Linked DNA regions of Mus musculus. The main gene of each other region encodes a partner of the protein of the gene in region 2 in a complex. Links are inferred from orthologs where the notes say so. Each region holds a gene or a part of one and is shown on either strand. Other genes may lie near its edges. The genes, in order: Ctbp1 and Rai2.

Evidence for each region.
Region 1: the proteins of Rai2 (region 2) and Ctbp1 are in contact, whole or in part, in a cryo-EM structure (PDB 8ARI), measured with the Homo sapiens proteins. The link is inferred for Mus musculus from reciprocal best matches to the Homo sapiens genes RAI2 and CTBP1. Residues at the interface, in NP_001166210.2 of Homo sapiens: Glu315, Ala316, Leu317, Asp318, Leu319, Ser320, Met321, Lys322, Trp326; in NP_001319.1 of Homo sapiens: Arg36, Cys38, Met42, Val51, Ala52, Phe53, Cys54, Asp55, Gln57, Gln60, Glu61, His63, Val66.

The regions. Positions count from the first base shown.
Region 1 is NC_000071.6:33,244,630-33,255,058, reverse strand, and holds the end of Ctbp1 (C-terminal-binding protein 1), read left to right. Parts: intron 1-3,986; coding exon 3,987-4,201; intron 4,202-4,557; coding exon 4,558-4,688; intron 4,689-5,344; coding exon 5,345-5,472; intron 5,473-5,834; coding exon 5,835-5,952; intron 5,953-6,372; coding exon 6,373-6,559; 3' UTR 6,560-7,336; downstream 7,337-10,429. UniProt on the Homo sapiens protein: Corepressor targeting diverse transcription regulators such as GLIS2 or BCL6. Has dehydrogenase activity. Involved in controlling the equilibrium between tubular and stacked structures in the Golgi complex.
Region 2 is NC_000086.7:161,712,236-161,722,567, forward strand, and holds the start of Rai2 (retinoic acid-induced protein 2), read left to right. Parts: upstream 1-4,800; 5' UTR 4,801-5,032; intron 5,033-5,317; exon of another isoform or gene 5,318-5,627; intron 5,628-10,332.

The DNA.
Region 1 (10,429 bases), on a different chromosome or scaffold from region 2:
TGCTGGGATTAAAGGTGTGCACCATCATGCTTAGACATGAACTTTTCATCAATTCCTTTCCACAAATTGGAAACTTAGCTGGGTGGAGTCTTGCCCTGAGGTCACTACTCCCTCTATTCCATTTAATATCAGGCTTTTCTTTAATCTGTGTATCTTCTTGAACACATGATTGTAGGCTTAGATTTTTCAAAACCTACTCTAATTAGGGTTCTTAACTGCTTTAACTTTCCTTCTAGCCCACCACCCACCAGAGGGAGTGGAAAGGAAAGGTTCATAGAGCAAAGGAGGATGTGGGCCTGTTTAGAAATAGTTCTTTGGGGTGATTGCAATCTTCGCTGTCAGGATATCAGCAGTTCAGTTCACGAGAATCAGCAGTGGTAGCTCAGTCCACTTGCAAACACCATTCACGAATCAGCAGTTCCATCCAGAAGAAACTACGTGACTTTGCCAATTGGCCTGAGTCCATGGAAGCAGCAAGAAGCTGCCAGAACATCACCAGAAGGTCTCTGGTACATTTTTCTCTATGAAGTCACAACAAAGATGATCAGCAAAGAGGGCAAGGCAAACCAATGCCACAGCATCGTCAGTAAAGAGCAGCATCAGCAAAGCCCAATGAAGACCAGTAAAGTGAACCAATACCATACTTTTGTCCACTGTCTGCTGAATCATCCTTATACCCTTTCCAAATATCATGGTTCCTCTTAAGTGTCTGCTCCAGCAAAACATCACATGCCCTTTTTCAAGCTGCTTCCAGAAAAGCACCATGTGTCTATTCTCAGTCAAGCATTTTCTCATAAGACAATTTCAGAAAAACATCATATGACATGACTGAGTCCACTTCACAAGATACAGTCTGGTGTTCCTTTCCTCCTCAAATTGTACATTTTGTATTTTTTCCTTGCTCAGCTTGTGTCTCTTCATTACAGATTTCCATAAGAGCACTAAGAACCCCAGGATAGAGTCAATACTAGGCGGTTTTGAGATATCCTCTGCCAACTTAATTAATCCATAAATACTCAATTTAGCTTCAGGCAGACTTTTTGGACAAAGGCAAAAAGTAGCCTTATTCTTTGTCAAAATATCACAAGAACAATCTCTAGGCCACATACTAAAATTCTTATCTTTTGAAACCTCTTAGGCCAGGGCCCTACAGTTCAATTTACCCCCCAGCACCCCCCAGCACCACTTCCTTCCATGTTCTTACTAGTGTGACCCATTAAGCAATGCTTAAAGCATTCCACTGTTTTTCTAATCCAAAGTCCACATTCCTTCAAACAAAATCATGGACCAGCCTATCACAGCAATATCACAGTCCCCATTTCCAACGTCTGTCTTAGGGTTTCTGTTGCTGTGAAGAGACATCATGACCATGGCAACTCTTTTAAAGGAAAACATTTAGTCGGGGCTGCCCTATAGTTCAAGGGTTTATGCAGGCAGACATGGTGCTGGAGAAGGAGCTGAGAGTTCCACATCTTGATCAGAAGGCAGCAGGAAGAGACTGAATCACACTTCCTCCAACAAGGCAACTAATAGTGCCACTCCCTATAGTCTTATGGGGTCCATTTTTATTCAAACCATCATCCATATCATTCATTTCTTTTTCTTTCTTTTAGTGTAAGGGGTTGTTTAAGATTCTTTTTTGAACTCACGTAGGTGCTTGCCTTTGCCTCCCAAGTGCTGAAATTAAAGTCATTAAAGGTGTGCACCACCACACCTGGCCATGTCATTCATTTCTGATAGTTTGACTTTAGAATCAGCTCATCAGTTTGTGTTTTGTTTAGTCCTTGTGGTGGTGTGAGAGTCTGGTCTCTAAAATTTACCATGTCCTCAAGACATTACATAATCCTATTATTTCATGTTTTGATTTCTCTTAGTAGAGTTCTGTAGTGATCAATACACAATGTTTGTACAGCGTTTGTAAAACCTGTTACTGTGCTTTCCTCAGTGCTGGTGATAGGACCTAAGTACCACCCCTCCAGCCTGGTTTTAGGGATAACTACTGTTAACAAGTTGTGTTTTTAATTTCCTGTAGTGTTTAGAAACACAGTTGGCCTTTGCATATTTGAGCTATACTGCAGTTTCCCTAGATCCTGGTTTGCAGGTTCTCCAGGCATTTCTCAACACCCTGCTGGGCCACACTTGCTACCATTTTTTGTTCTTGCCTCTTTGACATTAGCTGTGATGGTCAGTGCTTTATAAACTGCATTTTTCTCTCTGCTTTAGTTTGAGTCATTTCTATTGGCTGCTGTTCTGTCTTTGGTATTAGATCTTCTAATAGATTCTTCATTGCAGAATTCTTTATAGCTTTTCCAGCTCTCGAACAGGTGACTGGGTCTTTTGTAAGGACCATTTCTCTGCTACAGTTGACTGTCCTCTCCAGTTTTTCACATGTGCCTCTGATGCTGTCACGTGTTCCCAGCAGGTATCAGAAGTCCTCCCAGCTGATCCCATTGGCTGGGCTGTCTGTGGATATGCTTGTTCTTACTCTTATCTGTTAGAGTGTTTGTGGTATACTTAGTCTCGTCTAGAAAGAAATAGTAGAGGCCAAAGTAAGTGACATTTATCCCTAAAATTATTGTTCTGTGCTGTTAGGGATATCTGTGCTGGGGTGGTGCTGTCTGACAGCTTTGGGTACCTCAGGAAACAACTCTCTTTGAGCGCCCTCTGCCCATTTTCAGGGCAGCCCCCAGCTTTCACAATGGGGAGGTTTTCTCCAGGTCTCTACTGCTCACATTCTCAGCAGCAGCTGTCCTGTATTAAAAGCTTCTCTGTGACCCTCTGTCAGTCTACTTGGATTCTGCAGAGGCCTCCCTCCTGGCCTGTGACTGCTGTGTCCCTTGGCTTTAGCATTCCTTCATGGCCCTCCTGACGCACCTTCCCTGTCTTCTGTGCCATAATCCTGTAGAGTCATTGGGAGGGACTTAGAGCCTTGGTGGGCCCTGCCCTCCCTCTTGGTCCTGATGCTCTAGTGGCGTCTTCACACTTGCTCCCATCACCTTTGTGTCTCCTGCAAACTTGAGTTTCCTGGGGAGGCTGTCCTGGCTAACCTCTTTAAAGCTGCCTGTGTCCTGCCAACATGCCTGACTGTTCTCTTTGCTCTTTTCCTGGTGGGTATTAACTTTGTCTCTTGATGGATGCTGCAGGAGAGGCTTATGTCCCCAGCATTCTCTTATCAGCTGTCTGCTCCATCTGTATCCAGCATGTTGTTGATGTGTGGATATATGGAGCTGTCCCCATGCTATGCCCTTCAGCCTGTGGCTCCCACGACAGAGCCAGGCTTGCCTCAGATGACACCTGATGTGGATTTGTGCAGTTGGGCCAGGAAGGTGGCAGATACATTGCATACAGTGTACCCTCTCTGCTGCTAGATTATTTTTTCTTTCAAGATTTATTTCTTATTGTATGTGTGTGTGTGTGGGAAGAGGTATGTTCATATGAGTACAGGTGTTCACAAATGCCGGAAGTGTCAGATTCCTCTGAAGTTAGAGTTAAATGTGGTTCTAAGCTGCTTGACATGAATGTTGGGGATCGAACTTGGTTCCTCTACAAAAGCAGCAAGCACTCCTATCCTCTGAGCCAACTCTTCAAACACCTGCTGCTGGATTCTAATGTTCAGTGTGGTTCCAACATGTGCTGTTTGTGGCCAGAATTGAGATTCCAAGGGTGTCTGATAAGTAGACCCACTGATAAATGGTCAGGGGAGGGGGCCAAGCTTATTGTGTATTGACTTTATATATTAGTGAGTATAACTGATCAATGGCAGGCTGCTGGAGGGTGACAGCTAGCATCATTCCTCCTACCCCTTGATTGTGGTGCCTCAGCACCAGGGAGCAGATGTGCTGCAGAGTGTGTGTGACTGAGATCCCAGAGATCTAGGGAAACTTTGGTAGGCAGGCAGAGTTACCTGGGAGGCCCCTTGAATTATGGCTGTGAGGCTAGCAGCAAGCTCTGAGGATGCATGTCTCACTTCCTCTTGACTCTGCCAGGTCGTGTGGGCCAGGCGGTGGCACTTCGGGCAAAGGCTTTTGGCTTCAACGTCCTCTTCTATGATCCATACCTATCTGATGGAATCGAGCGGGCCCTGGGGCTACAGCGCGTGAGCACGCTGCAGGACCTGCTCTTCCACAGTGACTGCGTTACCCTGCATTGCGGCCTCAATGAGCACAACCACCACCTCATCAATGACTTTACTGTCAAGCAGGTACGCTGCAGCTTCCCCACCACCCTCCTCCCCTCTCCCACAGGGCAGTGCTGTCCCTTCTTCACAGTGTAGCCCTCTACTCTTCCCTCAGAGTTTACCCTTGTCCCTTCCCCCCAGGAGACAGTGGGCCTCTGGCCTAGACAGCAGCAGTAGTTAAATTCCTGGGCCTGTCTCATTCTGTTGATACATCAGGGTATACTTGCTGATGCTACTGCCCACCTGGCCCAGGGTCTCTCCCAGAACTTGTCTGTATCAGGCCATCCCCTGGTGGGTGGGAAGTGAGATTTGTTGTGGATGTGCCATTACAGTGAAAAGCCCCAGTGTCAGTCACTCACATGGTCATCCTGTCTTCTCAGATGAGACAAGGAGCCTTTCTGGTGAACACAGCCCGTGGTGGCCTGGTGGATGAGAAGGCACTGGCCCAGGCCCTGAAGGAAGGGCGGATCCGTGGCGCAGCGCTGGACGTGCATGAGTCAGAGCCCTTCAGGTGCCCCTGTGCCCTAAGATGGACTATGCCCACCAATCTGATGACTATGACGTGGGAGACCATGTATTTGAGCACTGCCCTCTTGCTGGCTGGGTTAGGGGAGGGTTTGCTGTCTGCTCTCAGGAGGGGACAAGATCCTCAAGAATCTGTCTAGCCTTGGCCATAGTAATGGGCTGGGCTTAGACTTGGCTTATTTTCAGTTTGTCTCTTGATGTCCATGATGGTCCCATGGTCCCCAGACTCAGCGGGGCCAAGGCATACACTAGCTTGGCTTCGCATGCAGCCTCTAGTCCAGTCTGGGCTGACTTCCTTCTTGGGGCTCCAGCAGCTGACAAAGCCCATCAAGGGATAGCAGACCAGTTGAGTGATTAGCCACTGAAGAACACAGTGGAGTCTGTCTGAGAGCCCTCATTCCTAGGGTTTGTTCTGCTGGGCAGGGCTGTGCCAGCACCACAGCAGGGCTCTTCCTCTAAGGCTCAGAATCCCCTCTACCCCTTACTGTTAAGACCTTGGGGTAGGTTTGCTAGTTCTGCAGTTCCACTTTTTCAGATGCCTTGGGAAAGGCCAGGGGCCCTCCCATCCCAGGGCTGGTTGCCTTCTGCACCTCCCAGACTTGGGTGCTCAGATCACTCTGACTGGGTATGTGCTATCCTCAGCTTTAGCCAGGGACCCTTAAAGGATGCACCCAACCTCATCTGCACACCCCATGCTGCATGGTACAGTGAGCAGGCGTCCATTGAGATGAGAGAGGAGGCAGCCCGGGAAATCCGGCGAGCCATCACAGGTGGGTAGCCATGCTATCAGGCTGGCAAGTTTGTTTTATGCCTGTTAAGGGGAGGTGACACTTGGTTGTTCTTTTATGGTGGGGGAGTCCCTTGGGGTGAAGTTGAGTAACACATCATTTTCGTACATGAAGACCTGCTGTGCTGGATGCCATCAGCTGCTTGTGAGCTGAGAGCACATGTATGGGGCTAAGGTCTCCAGGTTGGAAGCTGACTTTTCAGGTGGATGGTCCTATGATGTTCCTGGGGAGTAAGCCAGGGCTGTGGCAAGAAGGTGGCTCTGGGTCTGCCTCTTGGCCCCCACAGAGGCAGCAGTTTTAATCCACATTGCTGTCTCTCTCTGGTGTACCTTCCAACATCCTAGGCCGGATCCCAGATAGCTTGAAAAACTGTGTCAACAAGGACCACCTGACAGCCGCCACGCACTGGGCCAGCATGGACCCTGCTGTGGTGCACCCTGAGCTCAATGGGGCTGCCTACAGGTGAGCAGGCAAGGGAGGGGACAGTCTGCAAGACAATGAGGCTTAAACCTGGACCTTGGCTAGTAGGTTATGCAGTAGTGGGTCATATGACTGGGGCTACACCCTTATGTAAGGCCCCTGTGGATGTTAGAGGATTGAGCTGGATGGGACAGTCTACTTTTCTTGGGGTAAGAGGTTTGGCCTCCTAGACAGGACTGCTGGGCAGAACTGTTGTTGGGCCAGAGAGTAGTAAGGAGTCAGGGAATGGGGCTTGGGGAAGACCTCATGTGAGAAGCCAGGCTGTGATGCTGCCCAGCACTGACCAAGTGCTTACTGCCTCCAACTTTTCTGGACCTCAGGGGTCATTGATAACCATACAGAAAGGGCTGTGTGCAGCAGGTGGGTCTCTGTAGAGCTCACACGTCTGCCCTCCTCTCTCAGCAGGTACCCTCCAGGCGTCGTGAGTGTGGCCCCCACTGGCATCCCAGCTGCTGTGGAAGGGATTGTTCCCAGTGCCATGTCCCTGTCTCATGGCCTGCCCCCTGTGGCCCACCCACCCCACGCTCCCTCTCCTGGCCAGACTGTCAAGCCTGAGGCGGATAGAGACCATACGAGTGACCAGTTGTAGCCTGTGAGGAGCTGTCCAGCCTTGGCACCTGGTGGAGGGTGCTGCACGCTCTTGGACCCAAGTGTGCAGAGGTGGCATCCAGTGTGGGCCCTAGCACTCCAGAGACTGGCCCGGGCGTGCACTAGGCGGGGCAAGAGGAAGCACGTCCCCAAGTTGATTGTAGTTGTCCCGTCCTGTGGGCTGGCTCACTGTCCTGTGTCCTTTGCGTTCCTCGTTTAAGCAAAAGAAGTTAGTAGCTAATTCTATCACGAATGTTCTTGTCTGTGTACAGTTTTTAGAACATTACAAAGGATTTGTTTGCTTAGCTGTCAACAAAAAGAAAACCTGAGGGAGCATTCAGCAAGTCAGTTTGAGATTATTTTTCCTTTTCTACGTTGGAACGTGCCCCGGAATGTGGCCGTCGGCACACTTCTCAGGACAATGAATCCTTCCTGTTTTTCTTTTTATGCCACACAGTGCATTGTTTTTCTACCTGCTTGTCTTATTTTTAGAATAATTTAGAAAAACAACAAAGGCTGTTTTTCCTAATTTTGGCATGAACCCCTTGTTCCAAGTGAAGGCGGCATCACGAGTGGCTCCGAGGCGTCTGCAGTGCCCAGGGTGCTCAGGACCACCGGGGTCTGTCCTGGGGGAGGCAGGGGTTGGCAGACCCTTGCCTGCGTGGTGCCGTCCTGCTCATGTGGTAGGCTAGCAATATTTTGGTTAAAATCATGTTTGTGACTGTAACCATTTGTATGAATTATTTTAAAGAAATAAAAATCCCAGAAAGAGCCGGCACGCCTGGCACCAGTTTTAATGGCTTCATCAAATGGGAGCACTGGTGGGTCCCTTCTGGTCCTAGCTCTCATGACCTGCTCCACTCATCTTCTGTGGAGCAGGCAGTCCTGGGGAGACCCAGAAGAGGGCAGCAGCAGGTAGGGCTATAGTCCCCACTACATCTTAAGGGGATAGAGGGCCCTGGGTTGGGGAGGCCATCCTTACATACAGGGAGGGAGGGCTGTGGTGGGACCACCCCTTTTCTCCAAACAACAGCCCCTAGGCCAGCAGCTCTTGGACTGGCATTTTGGAAAAACCCACTGAAGGAAATTCAACAGAAAATTACTACTAAACAGAAGTTTTAGCTTGCATGCAAAGTGCCAGGCTGTGTGTGATTCGGTTTCCCATTTCCTCCACTGCATTGTCTTTAGATGCAGGCTGTGATCCACTGAACTGATTTGACAGTAATTCCCAAAAGGATCTGAGCCTGGCATCAATGTCCAGCCTGCAAATCAACCAAAGCAAAGAGGCTCTGCCTCTGTGGATGCTGAAATAGTTGAAAGTAGAAGCAAGCCTTCTGAGTAGAACTGTGGAGCTTCAGTGAACAGGCAGCATCAATCCCAGAGCTCAGCTGTTTGTTTTTAATGGGTCAACTTTATATGGATAATGAATGTCTGCCATCTGGAATTCTAAGACTAGGGCATAGTAAAAAGCAGGTGGTGGCTGGGGAGATGGCCCAGTGGGTAAATACACTTGCTCTGTAGGCACAAGGGCTTATGTTTGAATCCTCAGCACCCATGTAAAAAAAGCCATACATGTACCTGTTAACCCAGCACTGGCAGACAGACAGGCAGGTCAGGGAGCTTCCTGATAAGCAAGCCTAGCCAAACAGCTTCCAGTTTAGTGAGAGGCCCTGTCACAAGGTAAAGAGTGATGGACTATGACACCTGACATTCTGCTCTGGTCTCTGCGTGCACCCTACCCCCCTCAAAGCAGGCATGGTATCAGTAGACCAATTCTGAAACAGATTAGTGGGCTAAAAAGAACAGGGAACCAAGGGAGACTAGATTGGGGTACAGTGTGTATGTTTCTGTGTGTGTGTGCATGCAAATGTGTGTGAGAGCTTAGGACTTGAGCAAGGGGACCAAATGAAGGAGCGTCGCCCTTTAGTGAGCAGAGCTGTAGAATGACCTGTCAGAGAGGGTTAGTTTGCTCAAATTGGATCAAAAAGCACAAATCATGGGGGCACAAACTGGGACTGATTTGTATTTAGACTTCTTGGTAACACCTGTTTTTAGAAAAGACTGAGCCAAGATACCTGAATGATAGGGCATGCAAGAGTTCTGTGGTAGCAAAAAGAAGGTTGGGTCCTGAAGCAGGAGTGAGAGGCTTATCTTCAGGCCCAGAGCAGCATTTGGGCAGGCTGGACAAGGAGCAAAGCAGGACCCGAGGATGTGTAGACAAAGGGACCTGTTTCAGGGACCTGGGACCTATCTCCATCCTCTTCTATGGCTTCTCTCAACCCCTCTGTTTGGGTAAGTAGTTGGGAGAGGGTGGACATTCTAGGGCAGCCTGGGCAGGGGCACAGCAGTAGCCAGCCACTTCTTGTGGCCACCTCAATCTGGCCTCACACTGATCCCAGAATGGGCCCAAGGAGGCCAGGAAACACCCTCTTCTTCCTGATGCTCTGGTTCAGAGCCCAGAGTGACTCTGGAAATGGATTTTCCAGCAAAAAACAACTATTAAAACGCAAGAATGGAGGAAGGCCAGCTGCCAGTCCCTCCTCTGACTCTTGGCTCTCTCTGTGTAAAGAAAACCATCTGGTCTGCTGGGCCTGAGCCCAGGGCCCAGAGGAGACCTCTAATCCCTCGGAGCAGGACTGTTCACTCCCCAGCTGGCCCTGTGGCCCCCTTCCTGCCTGGCCTCTTCCCACCTTGGACCCACGCCCTGGAGGCCTCTACAGATGCCCAGATAGGGGGTGGCCTGGTCCATCATGCACTGACCAGCTGGGAACCTTGAGTCTTTCCTGAACCAACACTAAGTTGAGTCCACATTTGCTCCTCTACTCCCACCCACCACACAGACCTGAGCCCTGAGTAACTTATACAGATGGCCATGATGGCCTCCTGTTCCCCAGGATCACTCATTCATGATAAAAGTCTTGGAAAGATCAGGAATTCAAGGCCCATACCTAAACATAATAAAAGCAATATACAGCAAACCAGTAGCCAACATCAAACTAAATGGAGAGAAGCTGGAAGCAATCCTACAAAAATCAGGGACTAGACAAGGCTGCCCACTTTCTCCCTACCTATTCTATATAGTACTCGAAGTCCTAGCCAGAGCAATTAGACAACAAAAGGAGGTCAAGAGGATACAAATTGGAAAAGAAGGAGTCAAAATATCACTTTTTGCAGATGATATGATAGTATATATATAAGTGACCCTAAAAATTCCACCAGAGAACTCCTAAACCTGATAAACAGCTTCAGAGAGAGGATTCTTAAGGTTTTTGTTGTTTGTTTGTTTGTTTGTTTGTTTATATTTTGGCTGAGGTATAACACCATGATTCGAAGTAGCTGGTGAAGAAAGGGTTTTATCTTATAAATCCTGAGTTCACATTCCATCTCTGAAATAAGTCGGGGTAGGAACTCAAGGCAGGAACTTGGAGGTAGGACCTGAAGCAGAGGCTATAGAGGAATGCTTCTTACTGGCTTGCTCCTCTTGGCTTTCAGTCTGCCTTAAACAACTCAGGGTCACCTGCCTACAGGTGACACCAATAGTGGACATGTTAGTCATTAATCAAGATGCCCAGAGGCCAATGTTATAGAGGCATTTTCTCAGTTAAGATTCCCTCTTTCCAGATATAGCTAGGTTGGTGCCAAGTTGACAAAATCAACCAGCACAGTGTATAAAGATTTAGAAATTTCTAATAGATTGTTCATGGGTCACCTTGAGCAATATCCAAGAAGTACAGAAGGATGGAAGGTCACAGGCCTTCCCAGGCCTGGACTGGTTTGTGTCTCATCAGAAAAGTTTATAAACAAAAGTCGTCAAAGCATCCTGGTTTGTCTCACCCTCAGGCAGTGTGTTTCTCATTTAAGCAGTTATCTT
Region 2 (10,332 bases):
AGGTCTTAGGGTCCCGTGGGGAGTCCCGTGTGGGCCCTTGCGGGTGTTGGGCAAGACTCTGCTGTCAAGGTAGCCCGGGGCTCGAGTCTCGAGTCGAGCGGAAGGGACTTGTGCCCCAGATCAGGCCCGGGTAGCCTGCTTCCCTATGTACCGCAGTCTCAAGTTCCGCGCGATTGGATTGGGGCAGGCACTGTGTTCCACTCACCAGAGGTCTTAGGGTCCCGTGGGGAGTCCCGTGTGGACCCTTGCGGGTGTTGGGCAAGACTCTGCTGGCAAGGTAGCCCGGGGCTCGAGTCTCGAGTCGAGCGGAAGGGACTTGTGCCCCAGATCAGGCCCGGGTAGCCTGCTTCCCTATGTACCGCAGTCTCAAGTTCCGCGCGATTGGATTGGGGAAGGCACTGTGATCCACTCACCAGAGGTCTTAGGGTCCCGTGGGGAGTCCCGTGTGGACCCTTGCGGGTGTTGGGCAAGACTCTGCTGGCAAGGTAGCCCGGGGCTCGAGTCTCGAGTCAAGCGGAAGGGCGTGTTATAAAGTCTTTATTGTCCAGTGTATGCTTACCAGTTACCTAACTGAAGGACAAACTCAGAAATCCTTTCATCTAGTCTTGATAATTGTATACAAAATACATAATACAGGTGAATATTGAATCTCTAACCTCTACCCATACAAACCACCTTAGAAATCACCATTACATCATCATTGCTATTCTATCAAATGTAAAAACCTTTCACCCTTTCCCATGAGCTCTATCTATTCCTTATGTAAAATTGTCATTTGCCCTGGACTGTTTCTTCGAATGGTTTCTATCTGCTTTCCTTATGTCTCTATTTGATTTTAACCCTCATGTTTCAACTGTTGTATTTTTCATCATTTATAATTTTGCATTGTCATTATGCTGTCAAATGACCACCTCATTCATGCAGCCAGTAAACAATAGCCACCTCCCAAGTCATTTGACAATAAAAATTTCAGCAGTAGGGACATTATTTGGTATTCAGTAAGAAAGAATTTGTACTGTACTCTCTTCCACTAACATCTGTCATCTGTAACTTCAGGGATTTTATTAACCCCTTGAAAACTTCATGTGTACTGACTCACACAGGTCATGTCAGTGTGCCATGGGGTAATGAGCTCAGTTACCAAATCAATTCACATATATCATCTACAGGTTTATATGACTATATATCTGTAGCTAGTTCACCAATTCCCACTGTCTCCTGCTTAGATTTTGAACTCTAGACCTGCCTATATGGCTATCCAGCAGACCCATGACTCAAACCAAGTTACCTTAGAATTCTCTGGGTCAGATACTGTTTAACATTTCACTCACTCATTAGATGTTAGCTGTTACTATTTTCTCGTGTTCTGCATTCATGCATCTATCAGGATCTCTCTATACTCTCTATATGTTACAAGAACTCTCCCAATCTGCCAGAAAATAAGCACCCTTCACCTACCTTCTTCACTCTTCACCTCTTCATTGGGTGCCCAAGAGTTCTCCCATGGCTTTAAACTCCAATTCCCCAGAGTGAAAATTGGCTCCAGTAATGCACTCTTGCACTGACGTCTCAGTTTGCCTTCCTTACTTCTCTACTAGTGGTCTGTCCATCTCCAAGTCAACTTTTTACATTCTGGTCCCTGTGTCAGAATTGCAATAAATTTATCATCTCTACTGCCAGATCTGTTTCCCAGGGTCTTCTATCTCTCACTGAGTATACCCCACCTACTCTGGCACATGAATCAGCCATTCCAGTTTTTCAGGTCCCCAATCATTAGTTGATTCTATATATTGGCTCCAGTTCTCACTCTTCTTTGGTGCCTATACTATCTTGACTCTAGTTCTCATTATTGAAAATATAGACAGTCTTAATTTATCTTCCTGCTGCCAATCCCACCTACCCCCTCAATCATCCATTAACATCAAACAACAAACAGGTTAGTCCCCAATCTGTACCTTCCTTTATCACTTAATGCTTAGTACATTTTCATGGCTTCCATTCATTATATTGAAAAACTCCTTTATAGAACAGACCAGGGATCTCAAGTGACACCTAGCCTCCTCCTTTGCTAGTCTACAGAGTCACCATTCCAAATTCATAACATATTTAGTGTCTACAACATGCTTATATCCAAGCATTAATACCTCTTGTTCCTTCCATTTATACTGCTTTCCCCTTGTTTTGGAGAACTCCTGTTCATCTCTCAGCATTCCACACCTGTCAACATATCTGTTCAAGCTTTTCTGACTTCTCTACCCTACATCATTCCCCACTCTTCCTGGTAGATGTTTGCCTAGCCTGTTTCATAGCTTATTGTGTATCACATTCTTTGTGTGTGTGTGTGTGTGTGTGTGTATCACATTCTATCATGCTGTGTTAAACGTTATATATCAGTGTGCAAATTGGGGTCAGCAACCATGCATTAACCATCTTCCTAACTGACATTATAAACTCAGTGACTGGGTAATGAGTATGTGCAGATGTTTAAGTAAATATTGATTTACATTCATTATTTAAGTTTTAATTGTATATATTTACACAATTAATTTATACTTATATTATATAAATTTATATTTGTTGTTTAGAGTCACCAAATAATAAAATTATAGATCTCAAAAGCCAAGTTTGACCTGCCCTGGAAGACAGTTATTATTATTCTTTTCTGCTGTTTTGCATGTCCTTTCTTACCTCCACTTTCTTAAGCACTTCTTCCATATTCATGCTCCATTTCTTCCCCAAAGCACCCTCTAACCTCCAAACCAGACCAGCCCTTCATGGATCTCTCTCTCTACCCCATCTCTCTTCAAGAACAACCTCAGTGGAAATGTAGAACATGACAGTGTATATTTGGGGGGGATAGGAGTCAAGATGCCTGCTTTTTGCACTGGTCTAAATCAGTATAATCATTCTTGAAAGTATAGGTACCTCAAAGGGCAGCTATATGAATCACAACTGCCAGCGAGGATCAAACATTAACCAGCATTGTGATGAAGTCAACAAAAGAAACAGGCTAGTAATTGCCTTGCAGGATATATATCAAGTCTCTACCTTATACACACATTCCCCCACAACACACAGAAAGCCTTTATGGATCTTTCATCCATGAATTTTCTCAATTATAATTGCCCAGCTGTGTCTTTAGCTGTATTCAAGCCAGGTTCTGGCAACTGGCATATCACATATCTGATCCAAGAACCCTGACCAGAGAAAGCCAACTAAATGACTGAAGACATGTTCACAGGTAAATATTTCCACAGGTACTGTGTACTCTAGGGTGGTTTAAACTCCCAAATTCCATCTGAAAAGAAAAAGCAGGAAGATCAGCTGATAGTCATTTTTACCAGATCTCAAAATTTGATTATTTATTTTTCTGTCCCTGTATCAACTGACTTTTCATTAAACGAGCTCTTTTTCAAAAAAGAAAAATATAGTATGAAGGATGGGTACTAGCTGGGTGACTTCTACTAGTACTACAGTATTAGTTGGGGCACAGTATTCTGGAGGTACATACAGAAAAAAATCTAAGCATGTAAAAAAAGATACTTTAGTTAAACTGAATACATGCTATTTATCTTTACACAAATGCAACTATAGTGTAACTTTTAATATCCCTTTTATGGAAGACTTCCAAAGTTCCCACAGAGGTCATAATTTGGCCCTGGATGCTACTGGTTTGCATAATATCATGGTTAGAAGAAACCCTTATAAATGCAAGTGCAGGTCCCAGTATTAGTAATGAATAGGTGGGTTAAGGTGGGAGCTCTCTTACGAATTTTGTGTTCTTGTGGTCACCCCAAATTCTACTAGAGAAAAGCCACAATGCTGAGGCTTGGAGGGGTTTGAGTGTACAAAGGACTGTAAAATTCATACCGTTCTCTGACCTGGTTAAAGTAATTCCTGCCATACCATTCACTCTCAAATATCATCATCCTGTTTTAACAGGAAAAACAAAAACAAAAACAAAAACAAAAACTCAGCATCACTGAGGATTCATTAAACCAATGCAGTTGCTTCCTTTGCCTTTTTAAAACATTTTTTAAAGGATTTAGACTTAAAACAATTTTGATGACCAGTAATGCTATTGATTCATACTGTTTATTTATGGGTCACCAACCACGTATTCATCATGTCTATAACTCTAGTTCTTACACAACCCAGTATCTGGCAAACACTGGGTCCATAATAAATGTTAAATTAATATGTGAATCACATCTTGGTTAGAAATGATATTCTGTTTCTGGACTAATTTTGTCTTTGCTAATGTCCTGCCTTGGGAGTGCCATCTCTGACCTAGACCGCAATCCCCTGAGGCATATTAGGGAGGGTGGTAGCTGTTCCTTCTGAATGCTCCCATTTCTATCAACCACTTTCCCTTTCAGGGCTGTTCTTTTTTGCTTTTAGTCCTAAGGTCTAGAATGGTCTCCAGACTCCTGGAAGCAGCAAGGTCCCCACACCTCTGGGCCTTCCCAACCCGAGAGCACGCGGACAGACACAGACACACACGCATGCACGCGCGCGCATACACACACACACACACACACACACACACACACACACACACAGAGAGAGAGAGAGAGAGAGAGAGAGAGAGAGAGAGAGAGAGAGAGAGCTTGCCTCCAGCTCCCTAGCCTTCTGTCACCCCGCACCGCCCACAACCACGCCCTCCCCGTGGGCGAGATCACCTGTCCCTCCTCTGCCACCGCCTCCTCGGGTACCCTTTCGCACCCCCTCCTGCTCCCCTTCCTCCGCCACCTCCCCCAAGCCCTCCCCTTCCCCGCCTCCTCCCACCCCTTGGTGTATATAGTAAAGGCCAGGCGCTGCACGCAGACACACACTCTCCCGGACACAGGCAAACACGCACACACACACAACCGGCAGTGGCGGTAGCGACAGCGGCTTGGTGACAGCAGCGACAGGGGCTCCCATCCGCTGTGCACCCCCTTCAGGCGCCCAGCGGCGAGGCCAGACCCAGAGAGTTCCCACACTAGCGTCCACCCCGTGGCTTCCTGGAGGCGGCGGCCCGGATCCCGAGGTAGCGGCTGCGGGCACCCTAGTGCTGGTCGGGGTCACTCCCGCCCTCCCCAGGCGGACCTGCCACCGGGACGCAGGGGGCGCGCCGGGCTGGGCGCGCCTGGCGGGGCCGGGCACCCGGGGAGGGGCCTGCCTGCTCCTGGGGGCAGGACGGCGCCCAGAGGCCAGGGCCAGCGGGGAGGGCCGGGCGGGGGCGGGGACGCGGGCCGAGGCTACCACTTGTGCGGCTCGCCCAGGCCAGGCTCCCGCTGGCGGGCGCTACGCACTGGCCGGCCCGGCCGGGGACAGTCGGGAAGGCGGCGCCAGGCGGTGGGGCGGGGGCCCTGAAGTGGGTTTTGGGCCGCCACCCGCTCTGGCACTGGGCATAGAGGGCGGCACGCAGTGCACTCCGTGCCCGGGCACCGCACCGGGCTTGTCTCGGTATCTGCCATTCTGCCCCAGCCTGGAAAACCAGGCGCCTTCCAGGCCCTTCGAAAGATGGATTCTGTTGACGTATCTGGCGGCCCTGGCGAGAGGGGTGGAAAGTTGGGTTTTGCCAGATCGTGCTGGGATCTTCTTTGTGCCGCTGAGCAAGTCCCGCATCCCGCTGGAGCAGGGTGAGTGCCTGTCGGCGCCCTGGGAGCCCCGGTGCCCCACAGTGCCCAGACACGGGGTGGCTACACCAGCCCCGGCTTTCTGCCATGTTAGGCACCAAGCAGCGTTCTGGCTGCATTTTTTTTTTTTTTTTGTATGCGTGCATTTCAGTGGCGCCTTTTGCTGCGAAGGGAGTTATTGCTTTCCTGCGCGTTGGCTCCCCCAACCCCAACCCCCGGGGTTGGGGCTTGCTCTGTGTGTTTGTTGTTTGCCATTTAAACCCCTACTATTGTTCAGGATAAGCTCCGCCTGGGTGGGGAAATGGCATCCCACCACAGTTGTTGGCGAGGGGTCGAAATCTTGCCAAACAGCTGCTGCTTTGTGTTTCCCTATCCGAAGTCCGCGGAGTGGGTTTGGGGCAGGATGGATGGTGGAGAGACAGATAGGGCATGAAGGGAGACCGTGGCTTTGCGAAGACTGACTTGTCACCCACCCCATGGTGCTCAGTCAGCCTCTCTTCTGACTGACAAACTTTTATAAATATTTCTCTTTTAGAAGAGAGAAGCCTAATGAATTTAGCCGTTTTTTTAAAGGCGGCAATCCAGCTTTAACAATGGTTTGGGAACTTAATCAATGAGAAAGGGAGGGGAGGAAAAGAAGGCGCTGGCACCAAAGCGGGGAATGTGGCTGCTTCTTACAGAGTCAGGTAAAAGGGGGCCAGGGCTGGGCAGGGCAGGGCACAGCGCCTGGGTGGCCACATTCCTAAAACTATCAGTTGTTCTTACCTGTATCCGCTGGTACCACCCACGCTTGTGCCCTCACCTCTGGGCTGCCCGGTCCTGGCAATGGGCTTGAGAGGCGGCTTGCAGCAGGGAGAGGGCCAGCCTCCCTCATCTGGCGTTTTTTAAGGATGTGTAAATATTTTGCTGAGGATAAGTGACATCAACAGAATGATATTCCACAGAGCCCGGGTGTGCAGCAATGATAAATAGATACAGCCAAACAAAGTTTTGATAACCGCATATTCTCATGGCTCGCTCTGTTTCGTTTGGTCTTTGTTTTTGTTGGTTTAGCATTATCTCGCATCCTCTGGTGTGATCCCTTTATTTAGCCAATTCTTGGAAGCTTCTCCTTAGAACACAGAGAAAAGCAGCCAGCAGGGAGAAAACAATTCTTAGCCTCTCCTGCACCAGGCAGATTTTTCTTTGCTTTCCCAGGATCTCTTTCCCACCGTTTTCTAGCTGTCTTCCCTTCTCTCCTTTAGAGTCATCACAATTGCGTGCTGGTAGACCAAGGGACTTCAGCTAACTTTGAAAGCGTGTTGTGGCAGAGCCTTTGTTACAGTGGTATACCAGGGGACAGTAGAGAGGCTAGTGGGGAGGTAGCACCTCCCTAGGGTAGCACTATGCACCCATACCTTGATTTTTCTGCATATTTTTTCCCAGAAGAGAAATATGGGGAGCTGTGCTAGTTTCAGAAGCAAGGATAAGTTCGAAGGCACAGAATCATAAGCCGTTAGCCTGGTAACTTCCCAGTTTCTCTGGCCCTTAGGAGCTCAGTGAAGCTATACCCCAAGTTTAGACAGCCCCATACCCTCCCCACAGACACACTGTATTCTGAAAATGGCTATTCCCTTCTCAGCCTGACAGATGCCCACTGAGTGCATGCATGCCCAAGGTGGCTATGGCCCTTTGAGTCAAGCCACACTGAAACTTGTGGGCCAGGAAGCTGTTGACTGTTTTGGCACCAACTCAGAGGATCATTCAGCTTATCCAAGGAGGCTCCTTTATTATTCAAAGAAACCAAGACCACATGCAGGGAGGTTTGGCCCCAGGAAAACCTGCTCATCCCAGGAGTAAAAGAGAAAACAGTTTCCCGGGTGGTGTCCACTGCTTGCTTGAGAGCAGGTTGACAGGTGGGCACTTCCGTCTAGAAGTATAAAGCCAACTACAGCATCTTTTATCCAGAAAACAAACAAGCAAACAAAAGAGCAGAAAAAAAAGAAAGAAAGAGAAAGAAGAAAAAAAACAAATAAAAACAAACAACATAAGTTTGGGGGTATGTGAGCAAATGTAGCCTGAAGGCTCCAGTGTCAGCAGCCAGAAGAGTCTAGTTCCAATGACCCAGGAACTGGGAGACCCTTGACCCAGAATGGAGCTATTCTGTATATACAGACAGCCACACACAGGGTGTGCTCAGAAGCCACAGGAAGCAAATTGCAAGTGTCTGTTCTCTGGCTCCTCCTCTGACCTTAGATTAGTGGGGAGGAGGGAAGTAGAGAGAAATAAATCGGAAAGGAAGCTAACATTTGTTCTTGTCCTGTCTGCCAGACACTGAATCTGTGGCAAACCTTCTCTGTGACCCTGTGACCCCAGCGAAGCATTATTTAACAGATAATTCTCAGAGAAACTGTCAGCCCTGATCTGATTCCAGTGTTTGGTGTTTATGATTTAAACAGCAATATGTCTCTCTGCCCCTGCTCAAAGCCCCTTATTTATTTCTCCCAAAGGCCAGAGTCCTCAACCCATACCTCTTTCATAAAATATAGTACCTAAATTAGTGTGGTGTCTGTGAGTGTGTAGGTGGGTGACCCTCCAGTGGAGGCCCCCTCTTCACCTCTCTTGTGCACATGTGCCCAGTGGAGCCAAACCAGTTCCTAATTCAGGTGGTGCCCTTTTGTTTAAGAACCCACAAAGCCTACTATTATTAGCTAAATGAAAGTTGAGTGACCAAATGATGGAGTCGATGGAGTGAACAGTTGCAGAGAGGGAGCCATAAATCATTGTCAAGGGAGACACAGCAAGAGAGATCCAGGGGTTTGTATGTTTGATGGGGACTCATAGCTTTTGGTGTCATGCTCCTGTTGGAGCCCCATTCTGACAAACCCAGGTTTAATCCTTACAGCACTTATGTGAGACTGTGCGAACAGATAATTAATTTCATTGTACAGGTAAGGGACCTGAGATGTTTGAGGTACACGGTGAGACCAAATGGTAGGTGAGTTTTAATGCTTTGTTATTTCTCAAATACTAAATAAATATGAGGAGGGGGTTTGCTATGCAATTCCTTGGACCTCCTTCCAACCAGACGACAGCCTCTAGACCTTAGCAATTCCAGAACCACCAAAGAGTCAGGATTTGAATGCATAAAATGAGGGGCTTTGGACTGCTGCCTCTCTGATCAGAATGTGAGGAGTACCTCAGAGAATGAGGCTCTCTATGAGGGGAAAGATGGCTAATTGCTCTTTTCCCATGCATAAAAGCCTGTGTGGGCTTCTGAATTAGGCTTGATTTGGGGATCAGAGTGCCATCCTTGCTGTAGAGTTGGAAGCTCTTTGTCTTTGGAGAATGCCTCTGATTGCTACGTCTCCCTCCCACCAGATCATCTGCCTGGGCACCCATCATCCCATTCGTTTTCGTTCTGCACTCATGGCCTCTCTTCTGTGACTCACAATTTGTCTACTGCTCTCCTCTGTCTTCTGATGGCAGCTGGTGAGAAGGCCATTTTGGCAGCCACGTTAGTCCTTCTGGATGTCACACATGACCCTCCTCTTTCTTGCCAAGAACACACAAAAACACATATGCATGCACAGGCACAGGCATAGACACAGGCACATGTAATTTGATCATGTTTCTGTTTCTGTATCTGATTCACCAAATTAGATTGCTAACGCACAATTGTTATTGGAAGATGTGCTTGGCTTTGGTGATTTTCTATCACAGCCCCTGCCTTGAACAAATCAGAACAGTTAAGGTGGAGGTAGCTCAACCAGCAGCTGCCTAGAGCAATACTGGTTGTACTTAGTGGTTTCCCCACATCTGTGGGACTGCAGCTGAGATATATGCTTGATCTGTTTTAGTTTGTTTGGGCTACTGTTACCAAACTGGCTAAACTACATGTCTTTGAGCAATGGAAATTTATCACAGTTCCAGAGACTGTGAGATCCAGGATCAGTTTGCTATCAAACTCAGCATCTGGTGAAGGCCTTTAAAATTCATAGACAGTGACTTCTCACTGTTCTCTCCCGTGGTAAAAGGCCCAAGTAAATTCTCTGGACATTTCTGTTTCTGTTGCTGTCTGTCTGTCTGTCTGTCTGTCTGTCTGTCTGTCTGTCATCTCTGGAGCGAGAGACTGAATATCAGGGCCTTGTGCATATGAGGGAACTGTTCTACCACTGATGTACCTCTCTTCGCCTCTGAGGTCCCTTTATAAAGGCACTAATTCCCGTTGATGAGGGTTCCGCTCTCATGACCTAATCATTTCTTGGATGTCCCCACCTCTTAATGCCATTACCTAGTGAATTAAGATTTTAACAAATGAATTTTAGGGGTGGCACATCAATCTTCAGATCATGCAGCTTTACTGGGCATTTCTTAAATGCCCATTGGAATCTCCACTGGGCTTCCAGAACATCCCAGTCTTCATAGTTTCCATTTCTATTGTTATCATCAGCTTTAAGAATTCCAAACATATGAGAATTTCAGAGCACACCTTTTCCATGCCTGTCACCCTCCCCTCCCCACAGCTTTTCAGCCTTTCAGCTCAGCACTAATAGAATTTCTTAATGGTCATATTCTATATGAGTACTGTAGCATGCAAAAGCCATTGGTCCAATGGCTATGGAATGCTTGAGAGGCAGCTTGTCCCAAATTAGGTATGCTGTAAGTGCAATCTATCACTGGATTTCTGAGAGTACAAAAAGAATGCAAAATAGTTCATCTGGTGTTT